Linked DNA regions of Pelodiscus sinensis. The protein of the gene in region 1 purifies or fractionates together with the protein of each later gene. This does not show direct contact. Links are inferred from orthologs where the notes say so. Each region holds a gene or a part of one and is shown on either strand. Other genes may lie near its edges.

Region 1 (7,431 bases):
TTCACTATTTTTTATTTATTTATTTATTTATTACAGGCTGCTTTTTATTTGTTTCCAGTTTCACAGAATCTTAAATATCCCTTTTGAGGAAGGAGGCAAAACACGATCAAGTTGTTAAATAATATTTGTTTATGAAGACTGTATAGATTCAGTATAACATTTAGCGCAGGTCAAAAGTATGTTTTAATGCTGCCTTAACTGGCATTAAAAATAAGTGTAAAATTGTAGACATATTTACAAACTACTGTTTTCTATGTAATAATCTGTAAAATATACTTTTTTCTTGATCTTATTATTTGTATTAATTTAATAGAAAGCAGCAGCCTTGGTTTTCAGCCCCACACATTCACTCTTTACAAGCACTGCCAGTTCATATATACATTAGCTAAAGTAACTGTACATTTTATTGGATTCCTATTGCATAATGCAAAGAAGCCTTGATTTTTATTTTTTTAAAGAGATCCAAAATCTTTTAAAGTTGTTTTATTAAAATCCCTTGGTTGCTTTTTTACCATTTCCCAGAAGTGATCACGGTTGCAATTAAATTATTCCAAACAATTATTTGCTTCTGTTAGTTAGCAACACAGCCAAAAAACAGAAAATACTAAAATGGAAGTCAGTCTGTCAAAAGACTGCCAAGAAAGTTAGATAGCATTGTTTCACCTGTCTGGCTTAAACACCCATTAAATTTTAGTACACAGCCACCATGAGTACCTACTCATTATGTGACACAAAACCACCACTAAAATTCATCTTGTGCATTGTATATGCAATTATATTTGTTCCTGTAGAACTCATTCCTGGACAACTAGAATTTTTTTCTTCAACTGATGATGTCTGACTGGTTGATTTCACCAGCTATTGTTTGCAACATTACAAGCTGTTAACATGAAAGCAATTCTGAGGTCATCAACATTAAAATATGGGGTTACTAAATCAATAAGGATCAAGAAAGGACTCTCTTAAGAATAGCTACAGCTACAGACCTCAGTGATCAGCAACGAGATAAGAAAATGCAGAAAGCATAACATGAATTTCTGCTTAGTAAAAGAACAAGATTAACAGTGCTCAGCCAATGATATGAAAATTTTATAAAAGAAGTTTACAGAACATCAAACCTGGTCGTTTGCTCAGACTATATTACTAAAAGAATGTGGAAATACCTAAAAATGCCAATTTGTGTCATCTTATGCCTATCCAGCACCTAGAACACTTCCAATGGTCAGTTAAAGCATGCATGAGATCTTGTTATCTACATTATTTTTATCACTGAAAGAAAATTAGCCATACTGCCTCAGGCCAATGGTACATCTACTCCAGCATCCTGTCTTTCAACAGTAGACAGTGCCAGATGCTTCACACAGAATGAAGCAAACAAGATAATTATTGAGAGTAGCACATAGAAGTCCCATTCATGGACAAGATCCCATTGTGCTAGGCACTGTACAAACACAAAACAAGGATAGCTGTGCATCATTACATTTCTATCTAATAGGTAACAATGGTTAGTGCAGGCAAAGTAGTACACAAAATATTAAACTTGATCACCAATTCTAATCTATCCCAGATATTAATTTAAAAAACATTTTTCCCCTAAAGTTATCTTAACATAATTCTACTAATATTTTGTGACTGCTCTTACTATTTCTATAAAGAATCCCTCTCACTGTCCCACAGCTAACTTTCCGGCAACCTAAGTTTAGTGCAATAAACATTTAGTAAATCAACTATAGAACCCAGGTTTCAAGTTACACAGAGTTTGCAAAATTATTTACTGCACTGAACAATTCACAAAAGGCCTATTGCTTCTGCTGAGAGATATAAATCAATTCAGTAAATGCTTACTCACTGAAATAAAACACACATTCTCAAATATAAGGAGTAAAAATAATTCCCAAATATTTTATATATATATATATATATATATATATATATATATATATACACACACACACACTAGCCACTTTAAAAACACAGTATTAATTACAAAATATATTTGATTAAAATAGACCTACATGCTAAGCTACAAATTCTTTGCCTTCTAAGACAAACCCCTTTACATATTTGGTAATCAATTTAACCAAGTGATTCAAAAATACTGGGTTGCAGAGGATGTTTATCATCATCTGTACTCAAAGTTAAAAAAACAAGATGCTGCATCTCAGGAAGAGCTCCATGAACAAAAAGGGGACAATGACTACATGCTGAATGTCATCTTGTTTAAAAAAAAAGTGTGTGTTTAATTGCCCACATAATCCACACTGATCAGTGATTATTTGTAAAAATAATTAATAACCTGCTTGTCCAATCTTCCCCACCGCACAAAAAAAATCTCAGGCCCTTTTCAATGGCTTTCCAAACGAGATCCTGGATGGGGGGGGGTCCATATTTTCGGGAGGGGCGTGGCTTGTTTGTTGAATGACAGGTCGAGGTTATTCTGAGGAACAATGAAGAGGAGGGGGCGGATTTGGGGGCCAGCGGGCAGGAGCTGGACTGGGGGAGGGAGCCCCGCGCGTGGGCCCGAAGGTCTCGCGGCAGGAAAGGGGGGGGGCTCCCTGGGCCCAGCCCCGCTCACCCAGCAGCCGGCGGGGGGGGGGGGGGGGGGATGATCCCGATCTCGCACCTTCCACGCAGCCCGGGCGGATTCAAATGTCACCTTCGCTCAGGGTGGGGGGCGGGGGGAGCCCCCCCGCAAGGCCCGAGCCCGCTCCCCCTCCCCCGGCCGCGGCGGGGCCTACTCCTGGCTCAGCGTGGGACCAGAGGCCCGCCCCGCCGCTCTCCTGCCCGGCCGGGGGGGGCACTCTGGGGTGGGGGAGGGGAGGTTCCGGCGGGGGGGGGGGGGCACTCACCATCAGCTCGATGGTCTTGTCCTCGATCACTGAGTCGGGCTCCATCGCGGCGGGCGGCTCCGCGCCCCTCCCCCCCGCGCCTGCCTCCCGCCCGGCCGCAGCGCGGAACCGAACCCCGCCTGGCTCCGACCTCGGGCCGCCGCCGCCAGCTGCTCCCGCCCCCCGCCCGCCGGACGCACGCAGGCTCGCGGTGCCCGCCGCGCGCCCGGAACAGGAAGCGCCGCCAACGCCCCCCCGCTTCCCACCTCGCCTCCGCAGGGCCTACGACTCCCGGCAGGCTCCGCGGCGCCTTCGCCGCACGGCGCGGAGAGGACTGCAAAGCCCAGCAGGCCAGGCGCCAGGAACGGCCCTCGGAGTGCATGCTGGGAGATGGAGTCTTGTGAAGGGAGAGCCCCAGGCTGAGTGGGGCTGGCGGGCCACTGAGGCCCAGGCCAATGGCACCTTCCCATCCCACCTGCCAGCAAGGCCCCCCGCCCAGGGCAGGCCTGGCGCACCCACACGCCCTCCCGCCCTGGCCTGGGGCGAGAGACCGGCAGGGTGCTGGGCCCCACGGCGCGTCCCACCGAGACCGGCCAGACTCTGAGCCCCACGGCACGTCCCACCGAGACCAGCAGGACGCTGAGCCCCACGGCGCGTCCCACAGAGACCGGCAGGACGCCGGGCCCCACGGCGCGTCCCACAGAGACCGGCCAGACTCTGAGCCCCACGGCGTGTCCCACCGAGACCCGCAGGACACCGGGCCCCACGGCGTGTCCCACCGAGACCAGCAGGACGCCGGGCCCCACGGCGCGTCCCACCGAGACCAGCAGGACACCGGGCCCCAGGGCACGTCCCACCGAGACCCGCAGGACGCCGAGCCCCACGGCGTGTCCCACCGAGACCCGCAGGACACCGGGCCCCACGGCGCGTCCCACCGAGACCGGCAGGACGCCGGGCCCCACGGCGTGTCCCACCGAGACCGGCAGGACGCCGGGCCCCACGGCGTGTCCCACCGAGACCAGCAGGACGCCGGGCCCCACGGCGTGTCCCACCGAGACCGGCAGGACGCCGGGCCCCACGGCGTGTCCCACCGAGACCGGCAGGACGCCGGGCCCCACGGCGTGTCCCACCGAGACCGGCAGGACGCCGGGCCCCACGGCGTGTCCCACCGAGACCCGCAGGACAGAAAAGATCATCAGCGCTCTCAGAGATATAAGGCCCTTATGATTGCACACGGTTTAATATTCTAGTATTTCATTCAGAACTGTGGTATATTTGTCTGAATCCCAGTTTCCCTGTTTTTGTATTTGGGGCAGCGATGAAGAATGAAGAGTTTACTGTGGTCTGAAAGCAGCTTTAGGCCAGCTAGGAAAGTCCCTAAAACAAAGGAGTGATTTTAGATGCCATTTCTTCCTACTTAAAGCCCCTTTGCATTGCCAGAGGGATGAAAAGCAGCCTTTGGACCCATTATCCCTAATTGTTGAATTTACTTACCATTTCCGTATCTTTTGACCACATAGAGTTTATTAATTGTAACATTCCTGGCATTGCTTTTTTGTGATTCTAGCACTATCTTCCTTGCAATCCTTTTAGGCAAGGATTTTGACTAATATTCATCTTAATGGCACAACTGAATGTTCTCTGTTCTATCCAAAATGACAGTTGAAACAATACAACAGAGCTTTACATCCAGATTCTTTAAAGACGTAAGCACATTCCAGTGCAGCTAGACAATATTAAGATATGAGATTAAAAAAATTGAGGTTTCTGCCAGCTCCATCTGTACATATGGTAAAGGGATGTTACTTGTCTTTTATATCCCTTTAAAAATCAATTTCACTTTTTGTTTATAGTGAGTTTCACTTTCAGTTTCTCAAGTGTACTATTTGCTTATTTAAAGTCAATTGTTTTTTTACCATGGAAAATAACTAAAGCCTATGGTGAGAGAGAAAGCAGTGACAGAATATATAAGGAAACAATACTACTACACAATAGTTGCTAGTAGTAGCCAAGCTTTGAAACCTTTATAAGTGACAATCAATGAAAACTATACAGAAATATTTATGAGTCAGGAATGAAGGTCTAAAAGCTATGAATAGTTAATGTGGTCTACCTTATAGATCCACATTGTGATGGGAAATGTCCTTTAAATCTATTATAGGTATGGAAAGCATGTCCTATTTTGTTTGTTTTTATATTCATCCCCTGAGTATGTATTCAAGTATTGCATAGTTTTACAGAGCGAGTAGTGATTGAGGATGGAGACAGTCTGCATAAAATGTGTTATTCTTGCAAGTAGTAGGTTTCCAGATGTCACATATGTGCTCACATTAGAAATCCACTCTCAAACTAAGGAAAAGTTTTTTCACCAGGGCTACGTCTACACTGGCACGTTCTCACGCAAAAACTCTTTTGCGGAAGAGTTCTTCTGCAAAAATTCTTCCAGAAGAGAGCGTCTACACTGGCATGCGCTTTTGCGGAAGAGATGTGCTTTTGCGCAAGAGCATCCATGCCAGTGTAGAAGCTCTCTTGCGCAAGAAAGCTCTGATGGCCATTTTAACCATAGGGCTTTCTTGTGCAAGAAATTCATGTTGCCTGTCTACACTGGCCTCTTCTGGAAGAGCTCTTGCGCAAAAGGGCTTCTTCCTGAGCGGGAGCATCAGAGTTCTGGTGCAAGAAGCCCTGATTTTACACATTAGAACGTCAGTTTACTTGCACAAGAACATGTGGCCAGTGTAGACAGGCAGCAAGTTTTTGCGCAAGAGCATCCGCTTTTGCGCGAGATCGCGCCAGTGTAGACACAGACCAGGAGCGCAAACTTGTTCCTATCATCATTTTCATACCTGTTGCAGTATTATCAATACTGGCATCCTACCAACAGTGAGTGAAATTCATCTGTGTGCAGAGGGCTAGCACAGGGCCTATGGATCGCCTAAACACCACTTAAGCCCTCAAAATCAGGTTTAATTTAGACTAAGATATATTGCTGGCCTCTGACTAGGGATGAATTTCCTCCACAACGCTGTAGTGGTAATGAATGAGATCTCTCATTTCTATGCTAAGTTTCGAACCTGGCCCTAGAAATCTATTGGCATAAGATTTTATAAAAGATTATTTTTACAAAATGTAATGGGGGTGTGTGTCACATTTAAGTTCTCAACATTCTTTTAACCTTTTTAACCTTTATTGCTTCGTTAGTAATAGTGCTTTTCCTTCAGTTCATGCCATAATTCAGAAGTCGAAACAAAAACAAAAAATTTCCTAAAACCTCTCTCATTTAAAAAAACAAAACAATTCTACTTTTGGTTGGCTAGTGGCAAGTAGGGGTGTGAAAGACTAGTCGATTAGTCGCTTCCTTCCCCCTTGCTGCCTCTATCAGAAAGAGGTAGCAAGGGGGGGAGGGAGAGGGTACTTCAAAGCAGCAGTGCCGCTCAGACCCTGGACTCCACGCGGTGCTGCCGCTTTGAAATGCCACATGCAGCCTGGGGCCAGCTGGGGTGTCCCCAGGCTGAATGCGGCATTTCAAAGCAGCAGTGTAGCATGGAGCCCAGGATCAGCTGGGGACTTCCCACTGACCCCGGGCTCTGTACAGTACTGCCACTTTGAAACGCCATGGGGAGCCCAGCATTAGTCTGCATGCAGTGTTTCAAAAAGGCAGCACTGCGTGAAGCCCAGGATCAGCTGGAGATCCCGGGCTCCATGCAGCGCTGCCACTTTGAAATGCTACGAGGAGCCTGATGCTGGGCTCCCCATGGTGTTTCAAAGCAGCAGCGCCGCACAGAGCTTCGGGTCAGTGGGGGAGTCCCCAGCTGACCCCAGGCTCTTCTGTTGCTATACTTCAAAGACGGAGGCGCCCTATCGACTAATCGAATAGTCGATGCAAAATGCATCGACTATTTGATTAGTCAATTAGTCAATATTTAACAACCCTAGTGGCAACATGTGACAGATGATTCCCCATAAACTGAACGACATACAGTGATAAAGCCCAAGTTTTACTATAGTAATATACAGGCTGGTATGTATGTATAGTACTGCCTTCTCCTGGATGGAGTTAGAAATGCTTGCTTCTGTCAAACTTTAGATTGCTGAAAGCTAATAGATTGCTTCTTCAAATTGTAGCAACCTATGCATTTGGAGGAGGAAATTCTGAATTATATCCTTTGTCATGAAATTCCCAGTCCCCATAGCTTTCAAAGTCCTAAATACATTAATTGATTACACTTTTGTCAGAATTGAGATGAACCATGAAATGCCTGGAAAAACTTAAAAAACAACAAACAGTCTTGCACCACCTTAAAGACTAACAAAACCTGTAGACGGTATCATGAGTTGCAAGACTATTTGCTGCTTTTTAAATTTTCCCAGTTACAGACTAACTCAGCTACCCCTCTGAAACTTATGAAAGGCCTGTTCTTTAAGACAAAAGGTCTGATTAGGGTAGCAGGAGTGAATTGTCTGCGTGTATGCCAGTGCCCTCTGCTGGATGAAATGAGGCATGCTTAAATGTGTGTCTTATTTTGCTAACATCCAGTGAAGAGTCTCCTTCAGCTCAAGTGACAGTAGTCTGGTCTTTTGGAGCAGCTATATCTAAATTCTGTTC
Region 2 (7,709 bases), on another chromosome or scaffold:
CCAGGATGTCACTGGTGCACATCCTCCCTCATATCTGTAGCCGCCTTTGGCTGACTGGTTTAATTTGTGAAATATTCGGTGTCCAGTACAGTTTTTAAGCTCCAAACCAGCATGCATTTTGGACACAATGCAAACAACAGGACCCTGTGATACATGTCCAAGGCCCTGCTTAGTATGGAACAGTGACTAAATCAATCAATTCATCACACACCAGTATAACCAATCTGGCCAAATGTGGGACACATGCAGAGAGAAACTGAGGGACACATGAAAATAAGTCAGAAAGCTGTGCCCGTGAAAGCTCATGAAACCATCTAAATGTTTTGTTAGTCTATAAAGTGCTACCAGACCATTTGTTGTTTTTTAAGTTTATCCTGTACAGACTAACTCGGCTACCCCCTAAAGAACCTTAAAATGGTGGGTCATTAATTTCCCCAGCAGTAAACTAAATTTTGTGATGCTGCATCTTTATATGAATTAATACAAGAATACAGTTGTTCACAGCAAACTCACATGGAGGAGGGGGGAGAATACATTTTGAGCAGTAAAGAGTGATAGTCCTTCATAATGCTGGGATGCTTGAAAGACAAAACTTAAAACAATCACTAGTATAGCAGGAGTAGTGAAAGACAGATCCATCTCCACCAAAATGAGATGATGAACTGCAAGGACTGTCATGCTGCCACTCAGGGCCCCAGTGATTTATATGGGAGACTCTTCAGAATGGAGAGGCCTCGCATAGGTGCTGAGCTGTGGATCAAGGTAAATGGGTATCGAAATATAATTACCAAGTGGTTCGGCAGGCCACACAAATGCCCACAGTGGAAAAAAGGGAAAGCACACACGTACTGTGGTATACTAGAACCTCAGATTTACAGGCAACTCAGGAATGGAGGTAGTTCATAATGCTGAAATGTCGGTAACTCTGAACAAAACATTATGGTGGTTCTTTCAAAAAAGTTTACAACCTAATGTTGACTTAATACAGCTTTGACACTTTACTATGCAGAAAAAATGCTGCTTTTTTTTTCTCTGCAATTTACATTAAACACGGTACTATATGGTATTGGGGGGGTTGTTGTTGTTTTTGTGGTCTTTGCTGCTGTCTGATTGTGTACTTGCAGTTCTAACTGAAGTGTGTAGCCAGGGGAAAAGCAATTGCCAGGACTTATTAGTATACCAGGTATATTAGTATACCAGTAGCCCAGTGGCAATTTGAATGGCCTAGGGTCCCCAGCCACGCCTCAATTACTGCAATGGGGCAGCTGGGAGTCCTGGGCCCTTTTAAATAGCCAGGTCCTGAGGTAGCTGCCCCTTTTGCTCCCCTCACTCTCTGGCAGGGACACTGATGAGGAGAGCAGAAGGGGCAGTGACATTAAAGCGTTGCGATGGTAAGGAGGGTCCTTAAAGTGTTACTGCGTCAGCACTTAAACTTCGACCGTGTATGGGCCAGTGCCAGCGACCACTTCTTACCGGTATGCAGTATCGGCCCCCCTTCACTTCTATGCGTGGTTGACTGATCAGTTCCTAACCCTGAGGTTCTATCATAGGCACTAAGGGGGAAGAAGGGGAGCAGCCTCAGGGAAGAGAGAGGAGTTAAGGGAAAGAAGGCCCCAATTTTGGAAATGGGAAAGAAGCATAGGTGTTAGCCCCTGGTCACTGTCGGAGAGAGGAAGAAGAGAGAAGCAGTATTGAGAAAGGGGAAGCAGACCCCACTCAGCATTCAGGGAGGAGAAAAGAGTTGGGGGGGGGGGGAGTGAAAAGCACATCCCCCAGTGGCCTAGGGTGTAATGCACTGAGAAATTCTTAGAGATTAATCCCCACGGCTGCTGGGGGACACACTGTCAGGGGGCAGCCCCCAGGCACTGCCCAGGATGGAGCACATGATGCTGTGGAAGGTGTTGGAAGGGCAGCCCCTGGTTGCTGGGGGGGGGGGGGGGACCCACATGGTGTTAGGGGAGATGTCAGGTGCAGCCCTCAGCCACTGCCGGGAGTGGGGGGGAGCACGACGCTGGGGGGGGGAGGGCGAGTGTTCGGGGGCAGCCCTCAGCCACTGCCCAGGAGGGAGCACGTGGCACGGTGGCAGTGTTGGGGAGCCCTCAGCCCGGCGATCTCGGGGCCACCCTTGGCCAGGGGGAGGGGCGCACGGCGCTGGGGGGGGGTCGGGGGCAGCCCCCAGGCCCTGCCGGGAGCGGAGGGGGGAGCACGGCGCTGGGGGGGGGCAGCCCCCAACCCCTTCCGGGAGCGGAGGGGGGAGCACGGCGCTGGGGGGGGCAGCCCCCAACCCCTTCCGGGAGCTGGAGGGGGGAGCACGGCGCTGGGGGGGGGGCAGCCCCCAGCCCCTGCCGGGAGCGAGGGGGGGAGCACGGCGCTGGGGGGGGGGTCGGGAGCAGCCCCCAGCCCCTGCCGGGAGCTGGAGGGGGGAGCACGGCGCTGGGGGGGGTCGGGAGCAGCCCCCAGCCCCTGCCGGGAGCGGAGGGGGGAGCACGGCGCTGGGGGGGGTCGGGAGCAGCCCCCAGCCCCTGCCGGGAGCGGAGGGGGGAGCACGGCGCTGGGCGGGGGGGGGGCGGAGGCAGCCCCCAGCCCCTGCCCAGGAGGGAGCACGTGGCGCGGTGGCAGTGTTGGGGAGCCCTCAGCCCGGCGATCTCGGGGCCACCCTTGGCCGGGGGGGGGGGCGCACGGCGCTGAGGGGAGACGCCGCCCGCAGCCCCTGGGCGGGGCGGAGCCCCCCGGGGAGCCCCCAGCCCCGCCGCCGCCCGGGAGCCCGCGCAATGGGCGCCGCGCGCTCGGCTCCCCACAAGGCGCGCACGTGGCCCAGCCCGGCGCCCCCCTCCCGGCGCCCCCCTCACCTTCCTCCGGGTCGTCCTCGGGGTCGGCCGGCCGGGGCAGGGGGTTGAGCAGCTGCTCCAGCTGCAGCGCTAGGGGCGCCGCCATCTTCCCTGCCCGCCGCGCCGGGGGCTCGAGCAGGCCGCGCTTCCGGGGGGGGAGTGAGCGGCTCCGCCTGACGTGGGGCGGGGAGGGTCAGCGCGCGTGGGGGTAACTGGGGTGCAGGGGCGGGGAGTGCGGGCGAGGGGGCGTGGTTTTCAAGGGGGTGGGGGGAGCACTCGGGGGTGGAGCAGGGGGGTGATCACTAAGGGGGGTGGAGGGGGCTAAGGGGGGGATGGGGTCACGGGGTTATAAAGGGGGATGGGGAATCACTAAGGGGGTGGAGGGGGCTAAGGGGGGGATGGGGTCATAAAGGGGGATGGGGAATCACTAAGGGGGTCGAGGGGGTATAAAGGGGGATGAGGAATAACTAAGGGGGTCGAGGGGGATGGGGAATCACTAAGGGGGTCGAGGGGGTATAAATGGGGATGAGGAATCACTAAGGGGGTCGAGGGGGTATAAAGGGGGATGAGGAATAACTAAGGGGGTGGAGGGGGATGGGGAATCACTAAGGGGGTCGAGGGGGTATAAATGGGGATGAGGAATCACTAAGGGGGTCGAGGGGGTATAAAGGGGGATGAGGAATAACTAAGGGGGTGGAGGGGGATGGGGAATCACTAAGGGGGTCGAGGGGGTATAAAGGGGGATGAGGAATCACTAAGGGGGTCGAGGGGGTATAAAGGGGGATGAGAAATAACTAAGGGGGTGGAGGGGCATATAAAGGGGGTGAGGAAATCACTAGGGAGGGGGGAATCACAGGGGGCATAAAGGGGGATGGGGGAATCACTAAGGGGGTTGGAGTGGGTGGGTATAAGGGGATATCAGGATGAGGTGGGGGTGTGCTTATTAAGACTGCTTACCCTCCAGGGTCAGGACTGTCCTGGAGGCTCCAAGAATTAAAAAATTAATCTCTCATTGAAGATTTTTGTCCTGTGCTGAAGGCCCCTGGGAATATGACCAACAAAAATTGGTAACCCTAGTGGTTATGGAGAGGGGGAGGATGGGTTCAGATGAAGCGATGGGGGAGTGGGTAAAAGGTGGGGGAAGAAGGCCAGGGATATAAAGGGAGGTGCAGGGGGGAGAGGGGATTAAGGAGAGGACAAGTGGGTATACAGCTGGTTCCCCGAGTTACAAAAGCATCGACTTACAACCATTTGTATTTACGACCAACCTCCTATACAGCCGGAACCCGAGTTACGAACAAAATCCGCACTTACGAACAGCGCGGCCGTAATGTAAGTGAATGTAATCCGACTTACGAACAGATGGACTTACGACCTAGTGTTTGGTACGTAACTCGTTCATAAGTCGGGGACTGGCTGTATAAGGGGAGCTGAAGAGAGGTTGTGAGGGAAGGCTAAGTGGGTGGGACTTTTGTATGGATAAGTGGGGTGAAGCAGGGCCTGTGGTACGTGACACTGTGTGTTGCGGTGAGGTAAAGGAGGATCAGTGTGAGTGCTAATGCGGGAGAGGAGGATGTGTGGGTGCAGGTGTGGGAATGTATGATTATCTAAGCATGTATGTAAACCTATGTAAGGAGTATGTTTTATTTATAAAACCAGAAAAACCTACAACCCTTTTCCCCCGGAACACACTCATTATCCTTATTTAGGTCATGTACCCCTCACATAGATTTTGTTTTTCAAAAAAAATTATATGTTATCTAACTAAATTTTATGGTAAATAGGGTTCTACCTTTTGTGTGGGCACAAGTGTGTTCTTGTGCAATGAGCCAGATTCTCATCTTGGGTAAAGTCTCATTGTGTCAATGGAGCTATGACAATTTACATTAGCTGAGGATGTGGCCCAACTGAATTAACACTTTGAAGTACAGAAGGAACTTGCAGCAGCCACTCTTACTAAAACCAGTTATTTATTACAAAAAATCTTGCTTTTTCCATTTGGAATTTGAACTTGAGGTCAGTCCCTGTTAATTCAATAATTATGTCCTAGGCTAGTACTGTAGCCCATTCCACAACCCTTATTCATACATCAGTCCCGTGGAGTAAAATTATCCAAGAGTTACAGAATAAGGTCCCATGTTTGAAATCAACACCTTGGCCTTTGACCTTTGAGGTCACGTGCTGGAGAATATGGTTACTATCTAATAAACTGGAACACCTGTTCTGTATAATTATACATAAATGGCATAAGCACACAAAAACTGGGAGATTCTGAGCGAGTCCTAGCTCTGACTCACACTTGCCATGTCAATGAGATTTTGGTTTTTTGCTTCTCCCTCATATGCGGCCCCTGACTGACTTTTCTGTGGGTGGACGACCCCTGACCCAAAAAAGTTCCTCACCCCCATGTCTTATATATGATCATAAACATTTAAAATACTTAATAAAATAAACACCACACTTTCATTTTATTTTTGTAAAAAAAGCTGCTTAATATATGATATAGTGTAAATTATTTTCTCACTTTGTGTATTAAATATTTCAAGGTAATTTTTTTCTTTGTTTTAATATACTTCCTTCCCTGTCTCGCACAAGGATGTGCATAGGCAGACCTTTACAAAACCTCAGACCAAAATTCCAGATCAGGATCTAAACTTCATGTATATAATGATTCACCTTAAAACCCCAAATGTGAAAAACATAGAAGACTGAAATCTGATTCTCCCCAAATTTCAGTTTATTTACATTCAGTGTTTGGATTCAGCCCCTTAAGATGGTAGGTTCGAGTTACAAATGCCAATCCAAAACCAGATTCACATCTAGCTAAGAGAAATTCAGCATGATACTCCCTCATACACTCCTTCCATTCAACAAAACCTCTCCCCACTGCCATTAAATGCTATAAAAATTAATCCAGACATGTTTTCTAATTAGAATGCAAGCAGCAACCAAGGTGTCATGCATTTGTTGCTCTACTCCAGGATCTAGTATTCCCCCTGAAGCAGAAGAATTCAGTGCAGCCAGTTGTCCTACAGAGGGCAGAGGAATATCATTAATTACCATTTTCTTCAGTAGCCGAGGCTGCTTACTGCTCAGCTAACTTCCAATGAGGGCTTTGGAAAACCCTATAAAACACCATGAGGAGAGACTAATCCCAAAATCCTATGTGATTGGGAGAAGCTCCCAGACAAGTTCCCAGAGATAGTCTCCCTGCAAGGTGTTTGTTTCGTATTATATACAAAGAACAGCATATAAAACTAATATAATATTATATTGGTATTATATATATAAACTTTCATTACAATGCACGTGTTTATTATATATCAGGCCCTGGATTTTACACAGTGTAGAGTTGAAATACTTTTTAGCTGGGGAAACAATAGAAAAACAAAAGGATGTATATTTTGTGTTGTAAATTACATTTTGAGGCTATGAAAAGGTGGCTATAAAACTCTACATTGGTTGTTGTTGTTTTTTTTTTATTTGCTTTTACTGTAGCATACAATGAGGGTTCCTTACCATATTTGTTTTTTAAACGCAATATTATGAAATTGTGGACACACAGAGTTTGAATTCTGTGGTTGTTCATTCTGGACTCTATTTTTTAAGGTTTAACAGGCATTTTGATTCTAGAATACAAGCTCACATTATTAATGGAGGAACATGTATATATTTAATATAGAGAAATAATAAATATAGGTACTTGTAAATACTCTGCTATCCAAAGGTATGCTACCAATATCCACCTATCTGAAAGAAGAGAGGGTTTTTAGTGATGGTTACATAAAATGCTCCTAATGTATTATTTTATCCACAGAGAACATCCCATGAGCCAAATGTTGTGTGATTTACACTAGTCCCATTGGGTTAAATCCTGGCCCCACTGAAATCAATGGGATTGTTGTCATTGAATTCAGTGGGGCCAGGATTTCACCCATTGAGATTAATAGCTCTATTGTTCTGTATAAAGTCCCTCATCCAACCAGGCATTTCAGCTCATGTATACCTTCACATAGATGGGTAATCTTATTGAAGCCAACAGGCTTAATTCTTTGATGTCCTGCCCCTCATGTCAGCATTTACACTAAAGCAAAGTGGGTGTAAAACATTACAAAATCAGACTGGTAGCTTTGCCCTCACTTTGCATTGGTATGAATGGCAGCATAATATACAGAACAATGGAGAATCAAACCCACTGGGACTATTCACATCCTTAAAGTTGTTCACATTTTGAGAGATGTGTTGGGCTAGCTTCAGAATATGTGGAGGTTAGTCATTGGTAAAGGTACTCCAATAAGATAAACACAAACCAAACAAAAAATCCCTACTCCTAACACACCATGGAGTGTTAAAATATTGCAGAAATCCAATTTCCTTCTTCCATTTTATTCTGTTTGTTTCCTTTTTTGCATTTCACTCAGCTTGGATAATTAAAACAGACAGAGACAGACTAGTCTGTTTCAGTTTCTGGATCATATGCCCTAAAGCAATGCTACTGCTACTGCTACTGTTTAGATTCATAATCATGCAAAACAATGTTTGTATAATAAATAAATCATAATAATAAAAATATTTTTTCATTTAATTTTTAACACACTCCTGAAAGCATTTATATTCAGACTTGGTATTGTAAAGTCTTCTTTCTGTTTACAAACTGGAAATATGAATCCCCAAACTAGTTAACACAGTTCCTTTAATGTTACTGTAGATCTTAATGCTTATTTGCTAAAATAAAAACATTGATTTAAACGTGTCACAGATGTACAAGTGTGCTCCTGGAAGACTACAGTAAAAACATCATCTTCTCATTTCCCTCATTCATATTTCCCCTTGTTCTATGAAACCTTTGGATGGCTTTTTGGCATTTGAGAGACTCTGAGG

The links. The genes of interacting proteins can lie anywhere in the genome.
Region 2: the proteins of FBXW11 (region 1) and AATF purify together in Homo sapiens (affinity purification with mass spectrometry; 3 studies listed by BioGRID and IntAct, with this or other methods). This does not show direct contact. The link is inferred for Pelodiscus sinensis from reciprocal best matches to the Homo sapiens genes FBXW11 and AATF.

Annotation. Positions count from the first base shown.
Region 1 is NC_134727.1:4,105,248-4,112,678, reverse strand, and holds the start of FBXW11 (F-box/WD repeat-containing protein 11), read right to left. Parts: upstream 3,006-7,431; 5' UTR 2,895-3,005; coding exon 2,850-2,894; intron 1-2,849.
Region 2 is NC_134731.1:8,441,390-8,449,098, reverse strand, and holds the start of AATF (protein AATF), read right to left. Parts: upstream 3,006-7,709; 5' UTR 2,935-3,005; coding exon 2,850-2,934; intron 1-2,849. UniProt on the Homo sapiens protein: Part of the small subunit (SSU) processome, first precursor of the small eukaryotic ribosomal subunit.